Linked DNA regions of Oryzias latipes. The main gene of each other region encodes a partner of the protein of the gene in region 2 in a complex. Links are inferred from orthologs where the notes say so. Each region holds a gene or a part of one and is shown on either strand. Other genes may lie near its edges.

Evidence for each region. The genes of interacting proteins can lie anywhere in the genome.
Region 1: the proteins of sf3b3 (region 2) and phf5a are in contact, whole or in part, in a crystal structure (PDB 7B91), measured with the Homo sapiens proteins. The link is inferred for Oryzias latipes from reciprocal best matches to the Homo sapiens genes SF3B3 and PHF5A. Residues at the interface, in NP_036558.3 of Homo sapiens: Gly85, Arg86, Gln104, Glu105, Thr106, Phe107, Gly108, Lys109, Ser110, Leu140, Ile154, Ser155, Ser156, Pro157, Glu159, Ser1162; in NP_116147.1 of Homo sapiens: Gln14, Ala15, Gly16, Val17, Arg44, Asp47, Glu79, Asp81, Arg82, Asp83.
Region 3: sf3b3 (region 2) and WD40 repeat-containing protein SMU1 share a complex: the UniProt entries of both Homo sapiens proteins name them as parts of the spliceosome B complex. The link is inferred for Oryzias latipes from reciprocal best matches to the Homo sapiens genes SF3B3 and SMU1.

Annotation. Positions count from the first base shown.
Region 1 is NC_019877.2:2,093,722-2,097,998, forward strand, and holds phf5a (PHD finger-like domain-containing protein 5A), read right to left. Parts: upstream 3,146-4,277; 5' UTR 3,074-3,145; coding exon 3,022-3,073; intron 2,749-3,021; coding exon 2,725-2,748; intron 1,412-2,724; coding exon 1,245-1,411; intron 1,168-1,244; coding exon 1,078-1,167; 3' UTR 979-1,077; downstream 1-978. Other genes in the region: aco2 (aconitate hydratase, mitochondrial), read left to right, coding at 4,108-4,143.
Region 2 is NC_019864.2:25,099,849-25,104,304, reverse strand, and holds part of sf3b3 (splicing factor 3B subunit 3), read right to left. Parts: intron 3,402-4,456; coding exon 3,229-3,401; intron 3,017-3,228; coding exon 2,875-3,016; intron 2,448-2,874; coding exon 2,335-2,447; intron 2,105-2,334; coding exon 1,967-2,104; intron 820-1,966; coding exon 716-819; intron 624-715; coding exon 458-623; intron 367-457; coding exon 271-366; intron 1-270. UniProt on the Homo sapiens protein: Component of the 17S U2 SnRNP complex of the spliceosome, a large ribonucleoprotein complex that removes introns from transcribed pre-mRNAs.
Region 3 is NC_019868.2:28,087,857-28,092,492, forward strand, and holds the start of WD40 repeat-containing protein SMU1, read left to right. Parts: upstream 1-1,358; 5' UTR 1,359-1,453; coding exon 1,454-1,479; intron 1,480-3,161; coding exon 3,162-3,372; intron 3,373-3,525; coding exon 3,526-3,678; intron 3,679-3,761; coding exon 3,762-3,872; intron 3,873-4,636. UniProt on the Homo sapiens protein: Involved in pre-mRNA splicing as a component of the spliceosome. Regulates alternative splicing of the HSPG2 pre-mRNA. Required for normal accumulation of IK.

The DNA.
Region 1 (4,277 bases), on a different chromosome or scaffold from region 2:
GACTCAGCAGTTTAGACCGGAGCAGCTGAGGACGGCGATGGCTGAAGGGAAAGAAAGCTGCGTTTTCTGAGGCTGTGCTTCCATCCGTGTCTCCACTCTGTTTTACACTTTACTCTGTCCAAAGCAAAGATCGATGCTTTCACAGCAAACTTCGTTCGTCTTTTCTTTGAGGCGTTTCCAACAATAAGCTAACTTTTCATAACTAGTTCTGCTTCTCTGGAACAGGTCAGTTTTGTTCTCTTCCTAGTTTTTGTACAGAAACATTTTGTTTTCTGGGTCTGAGTGTACATAAATGTGTAATAAAAACTTCTGAATAAAATGCTGATATTCAAAGGTTTTATGTTTTGGCCCTCAGTTTTTCTGCATAAATTAATCTCTAGACCATTTTATTGTCTGAGGTTTAATACAAACCATAATACTCCCACCACTGTTTTAAATTTGTCCCTTTTTATTAAAGCTAAATAAAAAGTTAAAGGTTTTCCATAGTTGAACTTTTAAGTAATCTTTAAGCAGTTCATCTACAATTACTTTTCTGATTTAAATAAATTCATTTGTATCCTGAAGAACCAGGAATCAGGCTGTCCTGTTTTCAGACGGGAGAAGTCAGAATTATACGTCTTTAAATACATCATTTCCTCACTTTTGATCAGTAAAATGTAGATTTTGTTGGACTCAAATCCCTAATTTTTTAACTGAACTCTCAAATGTTTAGTTTTTTTCTTCCCTGTTGTCTCCATTTCAGGTTAATGTGACGAGAAAAGACAAACCAAAACTTCCAGATCTGAAGCTCCTCAGATCTTTAGGAAAATGTCGAAACTTTTCTTCCATCTAGAAAAGTTTAGGCTGCATTTATACGACCTGGATCTTCCTTGGAACCTAACAGGAACAAGGTTGAATGAGAGAAAAGAGCCTCCATGTATAAACGATAAGAAAAAAACGCTTTAAAACTGGATTATTCAGTCAAACGGCCACAGAGACTGGAGTACAAAAGTGAGTTTTATTCACAAACCAAAACAGTTTTCTTGGAAGTTTGGAAACGAGAAGGAAAGCCTAACAGACGCCGGGGGGGTTTCTTCTTCACCTCTTCTTGAAGCCATACTTCTTCCTCTCGTAGAACAGGTCTGTTTTGGAGCTGCCCAGGTTCACGATTTTCGGACATCCGTCCCGCTGCACAAAAAAAAGATTAAGGGTAAAAACATTGGTTCATTTCAGCGAAGGGCCGATCCTGGAGCCCAGAGACTCACATCTTTCTCCTGAATGGTGCACTCTTTGCAGTAGTACGCATCAGACACTCCGGGGCCTCCGCAGATCACGCAGCGCCCCTGATAGGACCCGTAGTTACACTCGTCACAAATGCGCACCAGCGTGCACGGCCTCACGTACGAATCACAGATGACGCACTTCCCATCGCCTGAAAGGAGCAGATCAGGGACAGTCTGGTTGGTCTCTGCCGTCTTTTAAACATTGTTAAAGTCAGACTTTAAAACAAGTTATTTTTGTAAAAGAAGACGGTCAGACGCTGCATCTCACTTCCTGAGTTTCTGCTGCTAGTTTCTTTGATGAAATGACAGCAAAGAGCTTTACAGATACATCAAATTAAACTTTTTTTTTTTTAAAACTCGAAGCGCTTTAAAATTTAAAACTAAACTCAAGACTTGAAAACAGCTGATCGTTCGTGTTTTTTGATCAAGAACATCTGTGTTGCTCTATATGCAGACAGGAAGGAGATACAATAGAGAGAAGAGGATAAACAGATAAGAATTGGCCAACACAGTTTGTTTACAATAGTTCAGAACTCTGGGTTGATGTTTTTTTTTTTTAAAGCAATATTTGACTGACATAATAACTTTGATGCATCTGTATGAAGGACTTTATCAAACTTCTGTTTTTCGAATCTCATCTTATTGACCAGACTTCCAGACTGGGAATTTAAGACATCTTTAATGTCATATCTATATGTTCCACGGCATCCTTTCCTATTTAGTTTTACAGACTGCTTCATTCTAGATTTTCTATCTAGAAAAAGTGTACTGATTTTCGAGGCAGGAATTCAAATGCTTCAGTCAGAAAGCAGGCCCAAACCACAATAAACTTCCACCGTGCTTAAAGTCCCACTCTGATCCTCTATTGAAATATTTTCATAACGTTTCCAAAAGCTGTGTCGTTTCTCCAAAGCGGCAGGAGTTTATTAGAAATACACCTATGAGTTGTGGGCAGATTGGTAGCGTGGAGCATGCCCGTCCCCCCTTCCCATCACCCATCTGTTTGTGTGCACTCACGCTACCTTTACAGCCCCTCACACCTCCAAACCTAACTGTATCGGTTTTGTTTCCAACAAACGGAAAAAAAACCTCTGTGGAATTCAATGGACTTTTTCTTCACTCTGCTTTATGTTCCCACTTAAAGTACTAAGTACAAATGAGTTTAGACTCCATTCACATTGAAAGCTTCTTGTTTTAAATTCTAGAAATGGAAAAGTTTTGGATTGTAGTATTTTTTCCTAGACTAGAGAGGGCTTTTATTCTGAAAATAATTCTCACATTAAACATTAAAGGCCCGTGCAGAAAAAAAAAGAAGAACAAATCAGGGATGGCCGCACGCAAAGAATCACTTTATAATATGTTTTTTTTTTTTTTGTTATTTATAAATATTACCTATAAAATGATATCTACATGCACTCTTTCTTTGAACGTTTGATAGCATTAAACAATTAAAAAAACTTACATTTTTCGCAAAGTCTCCCGATAGCTGGTGATGAAAACAGATACAGTTAATAAGGTAATTTACACAGTTTGGGATTAATATTTTAAATAATTAAATAGAAAAAACTAGGTATTTAGACATGTCGACTCCAAACACAAAACTAGGCTAACACGACCATGCTAACAGTCTCATTGAAACCCCATGCCATACATGCTAACAAAGCGCTAAACCTTTGAAAGTAAACCACGAATGTGTCAAATTACCTGCGACGAACTTTAAGGTTTCAGACACTAAACAAATAATTACGTAAAAACTTACCAACTCCCGCTTGTTTTCTACAAAAGATCAGATCTGGGTGATGTTTAGCCATGTTAGCTAACGACAACCCAACGCTCCGCTGACTCTTCTTCTTGCGTGTCGGTGGAAGCTAAAAGCAGCTAAATGGCCAATACTGACACCTACTGGACAGAAGCATGTACTATTTTATTTTTTAAATTACAAAATAAAACATAAACACGAGTTATAATATTTAAGATAATGAAAGTAATTAATTTAAGTTTTGAAAATGTAAAAATAAAAAATGTTACCAACATATTTATTTACATTTTTTTTATAAATACTAGATTTAAATAAATACCCTTTTTGCTTTTAAAATAGGCTACATTTCCAATTTTTAAAACCTTTTTATGAAATTTTCTGTTTTAAATTCATTTTTTAAAATGTTTTCTGAAAACCAGAACAATATATAAAATTATGAGAGAGTTACTTTATAAATAAACATGTCAGCTTGAGGAGGAAATTACCTGTTTGAGAACTTTAATTGCAGTTCATCAAATTAAAATTTTCTTGAGTAAAAATGTACTTTGGTGTGCAATGCATACCCTTGCTGAAGAAATAAAATTTTTTCTAACTATTGCGCAACTTTTTTGATGAACAGAAAATCTAGCTTATTTAACTTTGTTCATTAATTTATAAAAATGTTACATTTCCATCATATTTCTATATTTATTTTGTTTAATCAAGCACATATGAATGATTAACAACCATTTTACAAACCTAAACTTTTAGTCCATTGAATTGAAAACATGATGCAAATATCCTGTATGTATGGAAAATTTAATTCAAGCAATGCGTTATTTCTTTTAGATCTGCTGATGTGACGACCAATATTTTTCTTATGAGTCTGATGACACATTTTGTCACATATTGACACAATTTCTTTAATATTTTATTCCATGTAAACATGTACATTTTAGAAAGGAAATAAAATTCAGCTGTATTTCCAGGCTTTTCCACCAGAGGGCAGCAGTAAATACGACACTGGACGAAAAACCAAAGAAGAAGAAAGAAGCTTTTATACATCAGTGACGTCACGGCGATCTCACATCTTTGTCAGTGAACAAAATGGCATCTTACTGTCTCACCGTCGCACGGCTCCAGGTAAGAGCCTAAAAACTGTGATTTTTAAGTGTGAATTTCCCCGCAGCGAAGTGTCGATTTGCATGAAAAGATTTAACATCTCGTGTACAGTTTCCCGGTCTCATTAAAAGACCGAGAGCTAACGGATGAACGCA
Region 2 (4,456 bases):
AAAACACTCTATAAAAACACCACTTCTACTGAATTTCACGGCATAAACTTTTCTTTCTGAATTTTATTTACAAGCAGTAAATTAGTGGGGGGGGGGGTGCAAAATCACGTCCGTCATTAAATGTACTCAACCTCTGCTGTGTCAGAATTATTGACAGACTCTTCAGATTTTACTCAGAGAAGAGACATGACAATGTCATCACTTGATCAGCAGGAAGACTGTGTGAATTTTCTAATTCTACATAAATATTATATATACAAAAAGAAATACCTCCAGTCCATGCCGAAGAACTCTCAGAGTTGACTTGGGACCTCGTCCGCAGGCGACATACAGCTGAGGAGTGTCTTCATTTGCCAAATCAGCAATCTAACGAGCAGCATAAAGAAAAGAAAAGTTTCTATTGTTCTCTTTTAAACTCCATTTACCCCAAATCAGCTTTGAAAGTGCAAGAACTCACTTGACAGGACATGATGGGTGACATGTTCTCTTGTTCATCCACCAGCACCAGGTTTTTGAGCGGCCGAGGCTGGAAGAAGAAAGTGTCTCCCTCCTCCAACGGCATGGCAGAGGAAAACTCGGGCTCTTCATCGTCGTCACCCAAGTGAGCGATCTGATAAAGGTAACTGCAGGAAAAGGCAGCAGAGTGACGAGCGCTCAGTACACAGAACAAGCTAACCTAGACCAGCCTAAAGGAAGAGTGGTGAGCGAAACTTACTGGTTTCCAAACTCTGATGCCACAAACAGGAAGCCAGTCTTCAGGACACACATGGCTGTTGCTACAGGAATCGTGTCGAAATACTTTAGCCTGATTTCTGTGACCTGAAACAACAGTCATCACTCATGTGTGATTGTGTTCTAAACTAGAAAGCTTCCTCTGTAAAGCAGACGTGTAAGTGGGAACTGATGACAGTCATTGGCTACTGAAAATAACACAAAAAAGCCAAACGTCTTAAAACAAAATTTTAAAACTGCATTGCATTGTTAAATTGCCTTCATGATGGCTGTGGTACAGACGAGAGCAATCAACCGCTGATTGACTGCCCATGTGTCGAACTGTCCTTGAGCAAGACGGTGAGCCCCACATTGGTGGTTACAAGGGTCTTGTACGGCAGGAGAGCTGCCATCAATCAGTGTGTGAATGTGTGTGTGTGCATGGATGAATGGGAGTGTGTGAATGTGTGTGTGCATGGATGATGGGACTGGGACTGTAAAACGTTTTGGGACTTAATAAAGGCAGAAAGCTTATATATACCGTACTAATAGTGTTCCCTCGTTTACTGCAGGAGTTATATTCAAAGTAAATAACTTGCAATAGTTGAAATCCACAAAAAGGTGTTTTTTTTAGAATCTAGAATAATTTAGTTTTGAAGCTGTAAAACTCCTCAATACACACTTTATCCACTTTTTACAGACAGAAAAGAAAAATAAGTCCAGTATTATAGATTAAAAACAAAGATTTAAGCGCAACTGAGGGTTTATGTACTTTGAAAAACTGAATGTATTCTGTACAGAAAACACTTGATTGATAACTGTCTACAGCCAATCAGGATGCAGAACACCATGGGCTGTAAAAATAAAAGTTGCAAAACTGCAAGGCCATGAAAAATGAACCACTTTGTAGTTATGAACCACTGTATAGGACATTTTCATCATTCAGAGATGCAGCCTGTCCTTCCTGCATGTTCTCCATAGATCACGAACTAATAAGAAAAACGACTTCAGAGTGATGCCGTGCCTATGTGCCCTCATGAAGAACTTCACTCTCATCAATAAACGCATCTGAAAAACACGCCTTCACAAAAGTCAGGCGATACATTTTACAAAACTGGTGGTTGATATTGTTTGCCACCCTCTAAAAAATTAAAAGAATATCAGCCCTTATGTCTGCAACATTTTTCTTTTCCCAATTTTAATAAAGATCAGGCTACATTTAACAGCCAATCAGCTAGTTTCTGCATGCACGCACCATTTCTTCGTCCGTTTCCAGTGTGACCTTGAAGATGTCTCCCTGCTCCGTCTGAGCCAGGAAAAAGAACATAGACTTGGTCTTGTGGGTGGCTGAGCACACAAAGATCATGCCGCGCTCTGGGTCATCCAGGTCGTTCTGTGGGACGGACAGAAGAGAGCATGAGGGACGACAGACAGCAAAATGAAAATAAACATGCAGGCTGAACTGAAATGGCAGATAGAAAATAGAGTGAGTGACTTGCAAAAGGTTTCCACATAAACAAAAAAATCTGCTTCTATTTGTAGCTATGTGAAGTCGCTCTCAGACTGAAATATGTCCTTTTTTTTGTCTTTGAAAAATGTTGTTGGTTTTTTGCTTGGACTCACCCTGCGGCGGGGAATGGGACAGCGGATGTCTGGCTGGTCTCCAAAGTTCTTGTAGGTGATGTAGTTTTCAGAGCAGATCAGAACTCCACTAGGTCCATCTGAACCCCCCGGAACTACAGAGAAGAAGTTTCTTCTTCAGTCATGATAGGAAACAGGAAGGATTATTGATCCAAGACTGATTATTTTTGTGCCGATAAGATTCATATAGTCAAGAAATGTTATTCTTTTGCCAACATTTTATGGGAAGACAAGTCTGGTTTACCAGCCAAGCACGCACAAAACCAAGTGCAGATGATGGATTACCACGAGAACTGGGACTTCAAGAGAAAATTCACCTCTGAGCTGCCAGGGTGAAGTTACGGTTTCGGATGTGATGACAGCATCTCCCAAAGAAGCTCAACAGAAACAGTCTTTCTTACCACCTTACCTATCAGCGTTGTGACAGAACTTTTTTTTTTTTTCAAAATGGTTCAACTTTACTCATAAACGAAAAACAAACTGCGTCTTAATGAAAAACTTCATATGGATTTGAATAATTACCAGTGATGAGGAAATTTCCGTGTTCCTCCAAAGCCTCGCTGTATTTTCGCACCACGTGGTTAAGGCCGAGGTCCAGCTCATAGAAGGTGAGAGTCTGCTGGGTGTTTGCAGCAGCTTCTCCTGTTGGGTCGTTGTCCGCCTCCTGCAAAGAACGCAAGGTTATTTAGAGCCCGTTATTACATTTTAAAACCTGTTTGTTATGATCAACCTTTTGGACAAACTGAGATCAGAAATCAAATCTTTCTCCAGTAACAGTCAGAGAAGAGACATGGAAAATTCATCACACTCAAAACAGCCCAAGCCTTAGTTATATAAAAGAAAGAAAAAAACTATTTGATTTTTACACTTACTCACCTCATAATCCATTTCTAAGCAAGCAAACATGGGATTTTCAAAGCCAACGTCGACTCCAACAACATGGTAGACCAGAGTGTTGGCTTTATGAGCTTCCAGAGGAGAGGAGATGGTGAGTCTGGCTGCAGCGTCTCTGTTCAGAATATAAACCAGCTTCTGTTTCTCTATGGCCCCTGAGGAGCAGAGCAAAACACATCCAGAAACAGATTTACAATGTTAGAATAAAGTTAGCAAGAATTCCCTCTTTCCCTTGGGGGATTCTGACACTTGGACTGATGCTAACAGTTGTGACACATTGAGTTAAAAAAACCATTGCTAGGATCCTTCACAACTGCAGTTCATGCAATCTGACAACCAGGTAGTAACTGCTCCATAAGGATCAAGAGTGCCGGTTAACTCAGGATTTCACACAAACATCTGATATTAAACCAAGTCACCTAAAAGATACAGATGAGATACAGATTTTTCCGTTTCATCCCCTGCATGTTAAAAAAACGGACATTTAACTCTTAGAAGATTCAAAATGTAAACATATTAGCCTCCTTATTGTGACTTTTTCATAAATTGGTAAATTTTCCCTATTAAAAAAAGATAAATTGAAATTTCTTTAAAAACATTCTAAAATAATTGAAATTTAAGACAAAATTTATCAAAATATACAGAGAAGAAAAATGTCCTGCTCAAGGTTTTTTAGTCAGAATTAAAAAAAAAAACACTAGAAGGGGTTTTAATTATTTAGCAGTAAAAACAAATGGTAAATGGCGTATAATTATATAGCAGTTTCTACCCTCTTTCGAAGGCCCAAAGCGCTTTACAGTCTCAGTCCCATTCACCCATGCACACACGCATTCACACACTGATGGCGGCTCTGCTGCCGAACACTGGCGCGAACCTCCCACCTCCCAACCCAGGCGGGGTTCAGTGTCTTGCCCAAGGACACTTCGACACATGGCCGTGCAAGGCGGGAATCGAACCCGCAATCATACGATCATGGGTCGACCGCCCTACCGCTGCACCACGGCCGCGGGTAACAAAGCAAATTTCTAGAGGAATGTGTTTTTCAACTATGTTTGCAACCTTCTGTTCAGTTTCAATCGATCATTACAGAGAACCTGCTTCATTGAAAAAGTTGCACAAATTCATTTTAAATTAATTAAACAGCAGAGAGAAAACCAAAAATATCTCTCATTTCAATATCTCTCATTACTTCAAATGTATGAAATCTTCA
Region 3 (4,636 bases), on a different chromosome or scaffold from region 2:
GTGGGGGATTAGAGCTAAGCATGGTGAATGTAAAGAGGAATATCGGAATGAAATCCATTTGAAAGTGTGATTTGATATGACATAAATATTTACTGACACCAAACAAACATTGAAAATTGGGTAAAATATTAATTAAACTTTTTAAGTCTTTTTTTGTTCTAAATATTTACTTTCATCAAAACTTTTTAGGTTTTGCACTTTTTTATAACCTATTGTAAGAGTTTCCTCTTCACCCTTACTGTCAGTTTTATAAATGTTAATTAATGTTTCACACAAAGAGCAGTGAAATGTTTTGCTAGTATTTATGTGTTGTAACATTTTTTTTATTAAAAGTAATGAATCTTTTATCACTTTTTTTTAAAAAATATTACTTTATGATGATTCTGCATTTCCAAGACCAGCGGTGACCCTGTGTGTAGTTCCCTCTTATTTGGTGGATTTAAATCTAGAAGAAGAGGTTATTTTAACAAACTGGAGCCTCATTATTTTTAAAAACATTTGTAATGGCTGAAAGGCTAAAAATAATTTCTCTGATGATAAAAAGTCTTGCTTTTTTGCTATGAGGCAGCCCCATACCATCATACTGCCTCTGCCCAAAGATGTTACCCTGCAGCATTCTGAACGTAGACTTTATTTTGATTCCAGGTTCCAGGGCACTTCACTGCTGAAAGCGTTTAGAGAAGTGTGAGCACTTTTCAGGGGTTGTTCTGCAAACCTTAGGATTTGTAGTAGTTGTCATTCTGGGGTTCATCTCCATCTTTGACTCCTTTCTGTGTGAAACTTGGCTTTCGGTTTGTGGATGAGCTAGAGCTCACCTCAAAAGAAGAGCAACACAAACCGACCACTGCAGCAGATGTATCAATCAAACAAGAGCCAACAACAAAATAAGAGATAACTCAAGACTTTTGGCTTTTTCTCTGAGAGTCTATCCTCAATTCTGCTGCTCAATCCAAAGGTGATTTTTTATTTGGGTAGATGTAAAAAGACACAATGCACTAAAATCAAATGTTCTTCTTTTTGTGTGACAGTTCAGATTTTTGCAATGTAGAATCAAACGTTGTTTATCTAATCAACTGGTTTATTTTCAAGCAATGAAAACGAATAGGCAAACAAAAAAAATAAAGACAAAAAGAATAGATGTATTTCTATACATATGTCAAACATATTTAGGATAAAAAATATGAATTGACTGGATTTTGCAGACGTAAAGATTTTTGATTGGATATTTGTTAAACACTGTTGGTGTTTTTTTAAAGGACAGAGTTAAAATGTGTTCATGAGGATTTAAAAGTCCTTAGTATTCTAACAGCCTCAGAACCGGAAGTGTCTGTGAGCTGTCAAGACAAATTCCATTCAGGCTTTTATTTTGAAGTGCAGTCGCCTCATCCATCACTTCCGTATCTCCTCCTTTGCTGCATGAGTGTTTCTGGCTGCAGGTTTCAGATAAATCATCATGTCTATAGAGGTGGAATCTGCAGAGTGAGTATTTTGTTTAAAATTTCCTAATGTGTTAATTATTATTGGCATAATTTAGCGGCTCATAATTCTATATGTCCTAGCAGTATCGTAGCTGAGGCCTGTTTCATCCTGACTAAAGTGAACTGTCGTTAGCCTCGTGAAGTACCGTAAATGTGGACCATTTAAACTATTTTTTTTGTTCTCTAAATGCACCAGTAAGGCACAGACTGTGCTTATATGTGCGTTACTTATCATTGCTACTTTTGGGCAGCAGGAACTACAACTTGACGATTAAATAAAAGTACTTTTGACGTAAGCTAACGATGCTAATGCTAACTTTGATGCTAATGCGAGGGTCGGCACAACACGGACGAGGATGAAGATGACGTTTAATTTAGGCTCTATTCAGCACAAATGTTTGTATAATTTGATTTTTATAATTTTCTTTTATAATTAAAATGATAAAAAACGTCTTCTGTTAACTAAAACTATTCAGACTATGGACGGTCCGGCTAATTATTAGTCCTAGTTTCGTTCATTAGGGAGTTTAAGATGGAACTTTTTCCTTTATTTGAATATCAATATTATTTATTTCACTGACAAGTGACATGAACTTTTATTCTTTATTTTTTATACAGTAGTTATAAATGTTCAAAATCAAAAGTTACCAAAGTTTTATTTGTGTATTTGTCTGAGAGTTTCATTCATTAATAGATTTCTTCTTTCTGCTGCATTTATAGTAAAATTGTCTAAATATTTTGTGTTATTGTCATACGACAACTAAGTTTTAGAGCCACCATAAAAAATAAACAAATGTTTAACAATAAACTCCAACTTTCCTAAAAATAAATTATAAGAAAGAAGTTGCGTAAAACTATTCAATAAAGTCCTAAATTTACACTAATTGTGTAGCGTAAAATTGATAGAAAGTTTAAATGAAACAAGATAGAAGTGTAAAATGATCAGGAAAAAGTTCAAATTTTATTACTGGTTGAATAATGTCGTAGAACATGTGAGAAATTTACCAAATTCTTTGAGAATAGTTGTTAAATTGTGAGAAAATGTCAACATTTTAAAAGAACAAAGTAGTTAAATTGTGAAAAATCACACCGCTGAATAATTTAAATGAATCTGCTTTTTTTTTTATTGATTTACACCTTTTCTTTACATGAAATTACAACTTTTTTTATGACTGACTTTGACCTTGTCAACGTAGAGCTGGTTAAATCATAGACTTACAATTTTGTTCTCATAAAGTTTTGACCTTTTTCCCCCCATATTTCTGACCATTGTTATTTTTTTTCTTACTGTTGTTTATTTTTTTATTTTTAAGTGTTTTATGTGGCACTGCAGCAAAATCCTAGTCTGTGAAACTGCTTTGTTCAATTGTTGACAATGGCAATAAAAACTCCTTGAATTCTTGTAAATTTTTTTATAACTTTATCCTCATAAGTTTAGTTTTTTTATGATGGTCTGTCATAGACAACAAATCATAGCTCCAATAGTGACGTTTTTGTAAAAACTGCTCAAATACAAAGATATATTTTGCTGCTGTAAAAGCTGCTCCTCATGGAGTTTTAGGCAGTAAAAGTTTGATCCCTAGACGATTGCGTCATTGAACAAGCAAGTTCCTGAAGGCAGCAACTGCTTTTTTGTTTCTGGATGTTTCGAGGGGACTGAACAGCCATTTGTCTTTTCCCCAGCGTGATCCGTCTGATCATGCAGTACTTGAAGGAGAACAATCTGCACCGGACCCTCGCCTCCCTGCAGGAGGAGACCACGGTGTCTCTGAACACGGTGGACAGCATCGAGAGTTTTGTAGCGGACATCAACAGCGGACACTGGGATACCGTCCTGCAGGCCATCCAGTCCCTCAAGCTGCCAGATAAAACCCTGATCGACCTCTATGAGCAGGTGAGCTTGGTGTTTGTGGAGTTCTTTGTCCTGTTCGATATCATCCTGCTTTCTAAAGGAGCACTAAGATGGAACCAAACATCCACTTCATGAAACCAGGTCTGTTCGGACTCACCTGGTCTCCTCTCACGTCTCCTCTTGCTCCTTCCTCAGGTCGTGTTGGAGCTGATAGAGCTGAGAGAGCTCGGCGCGGCGCGTTCCCTCCTCAGACAGACGGACCCCATGATCATGCTGAAGCAGACCCAACCGGAGAGATACATCCACCTGGAGAACCTGCTGGCCCGCTCCTACTTTGATCCCCGAGAGGTGAGGCTGCGAGATTCAAAGAACGCGAGCGCGTTCGTGTTTGTCCGTAACCGGGGACTGATTGGACCGTGCGCTCTATCCAGGCGTATCCTGACGGCAGCAGTAAGGAGAAGCGCCGGGCGGCCATTGCTCAGGCGTTGGCCGGAGAAGTGAGCGTGGTGCCTCCATCCCGTCTCATGGCTCTGCTGGGACAGGTGAGGAACCTGAAAAGCAACTGTTTTCGCCCACTTCCTGACAAGACTTCAACTGTTTACACACGACAAAAATACCCCAGGAAACCGGAGGTTCCTTTGGTGCTGCAATATTTGAAGGACTCTTGAAATTTGTCAAATCGTGTGCTAAATGACAAACCTATAGGCGTTTTCTCTTCTCTAGTTTTGTTTTATTTAAATCTATTGGATTAGAAAAACTTTCTAAATCTCTTTGGACAAAGTAACTGCTCCCCGACACACAATTTAGTGCTTTTGAATCACTTTTCTGCTTTTAGTCGAGATCTTTCTAACAAATCCTGCAGATATAAATTAGCCCCACACCATCACACTGCCACCACCGTGTCTGACTGATGCTTTGAAGTGTTTTTTTGGGGTATAGCCCATCATTCACACCTATTGGGTTTGTTTTTTGTGTCCTCAGTTTTGGTGTTCTGGTGTCTCCTTTATTTTCCATGTACTTCTGTCCCGCAGCCGTCCTGGACTGAAGGACCTCACTGTTGTCCTAATTCCCGTTTCTTTGAGCAAATATATTGCCCCATCGGTTGTCCAAATTCCTTCACTACTCACTACATAGTGCGTTCACCATTTTCTAGTGCTGTCTGAATCTACAATTCCAAAATCCAGTGGCCTAGAAATTTTCCAGACGTCTCGATGCAGACTAGATCGGTGAATATAGACCACGATGCATTGCATTTGAAAATTTGTTTTAAAAAAAAGGAATTTAAATGTATTTTTTAATAAACCAT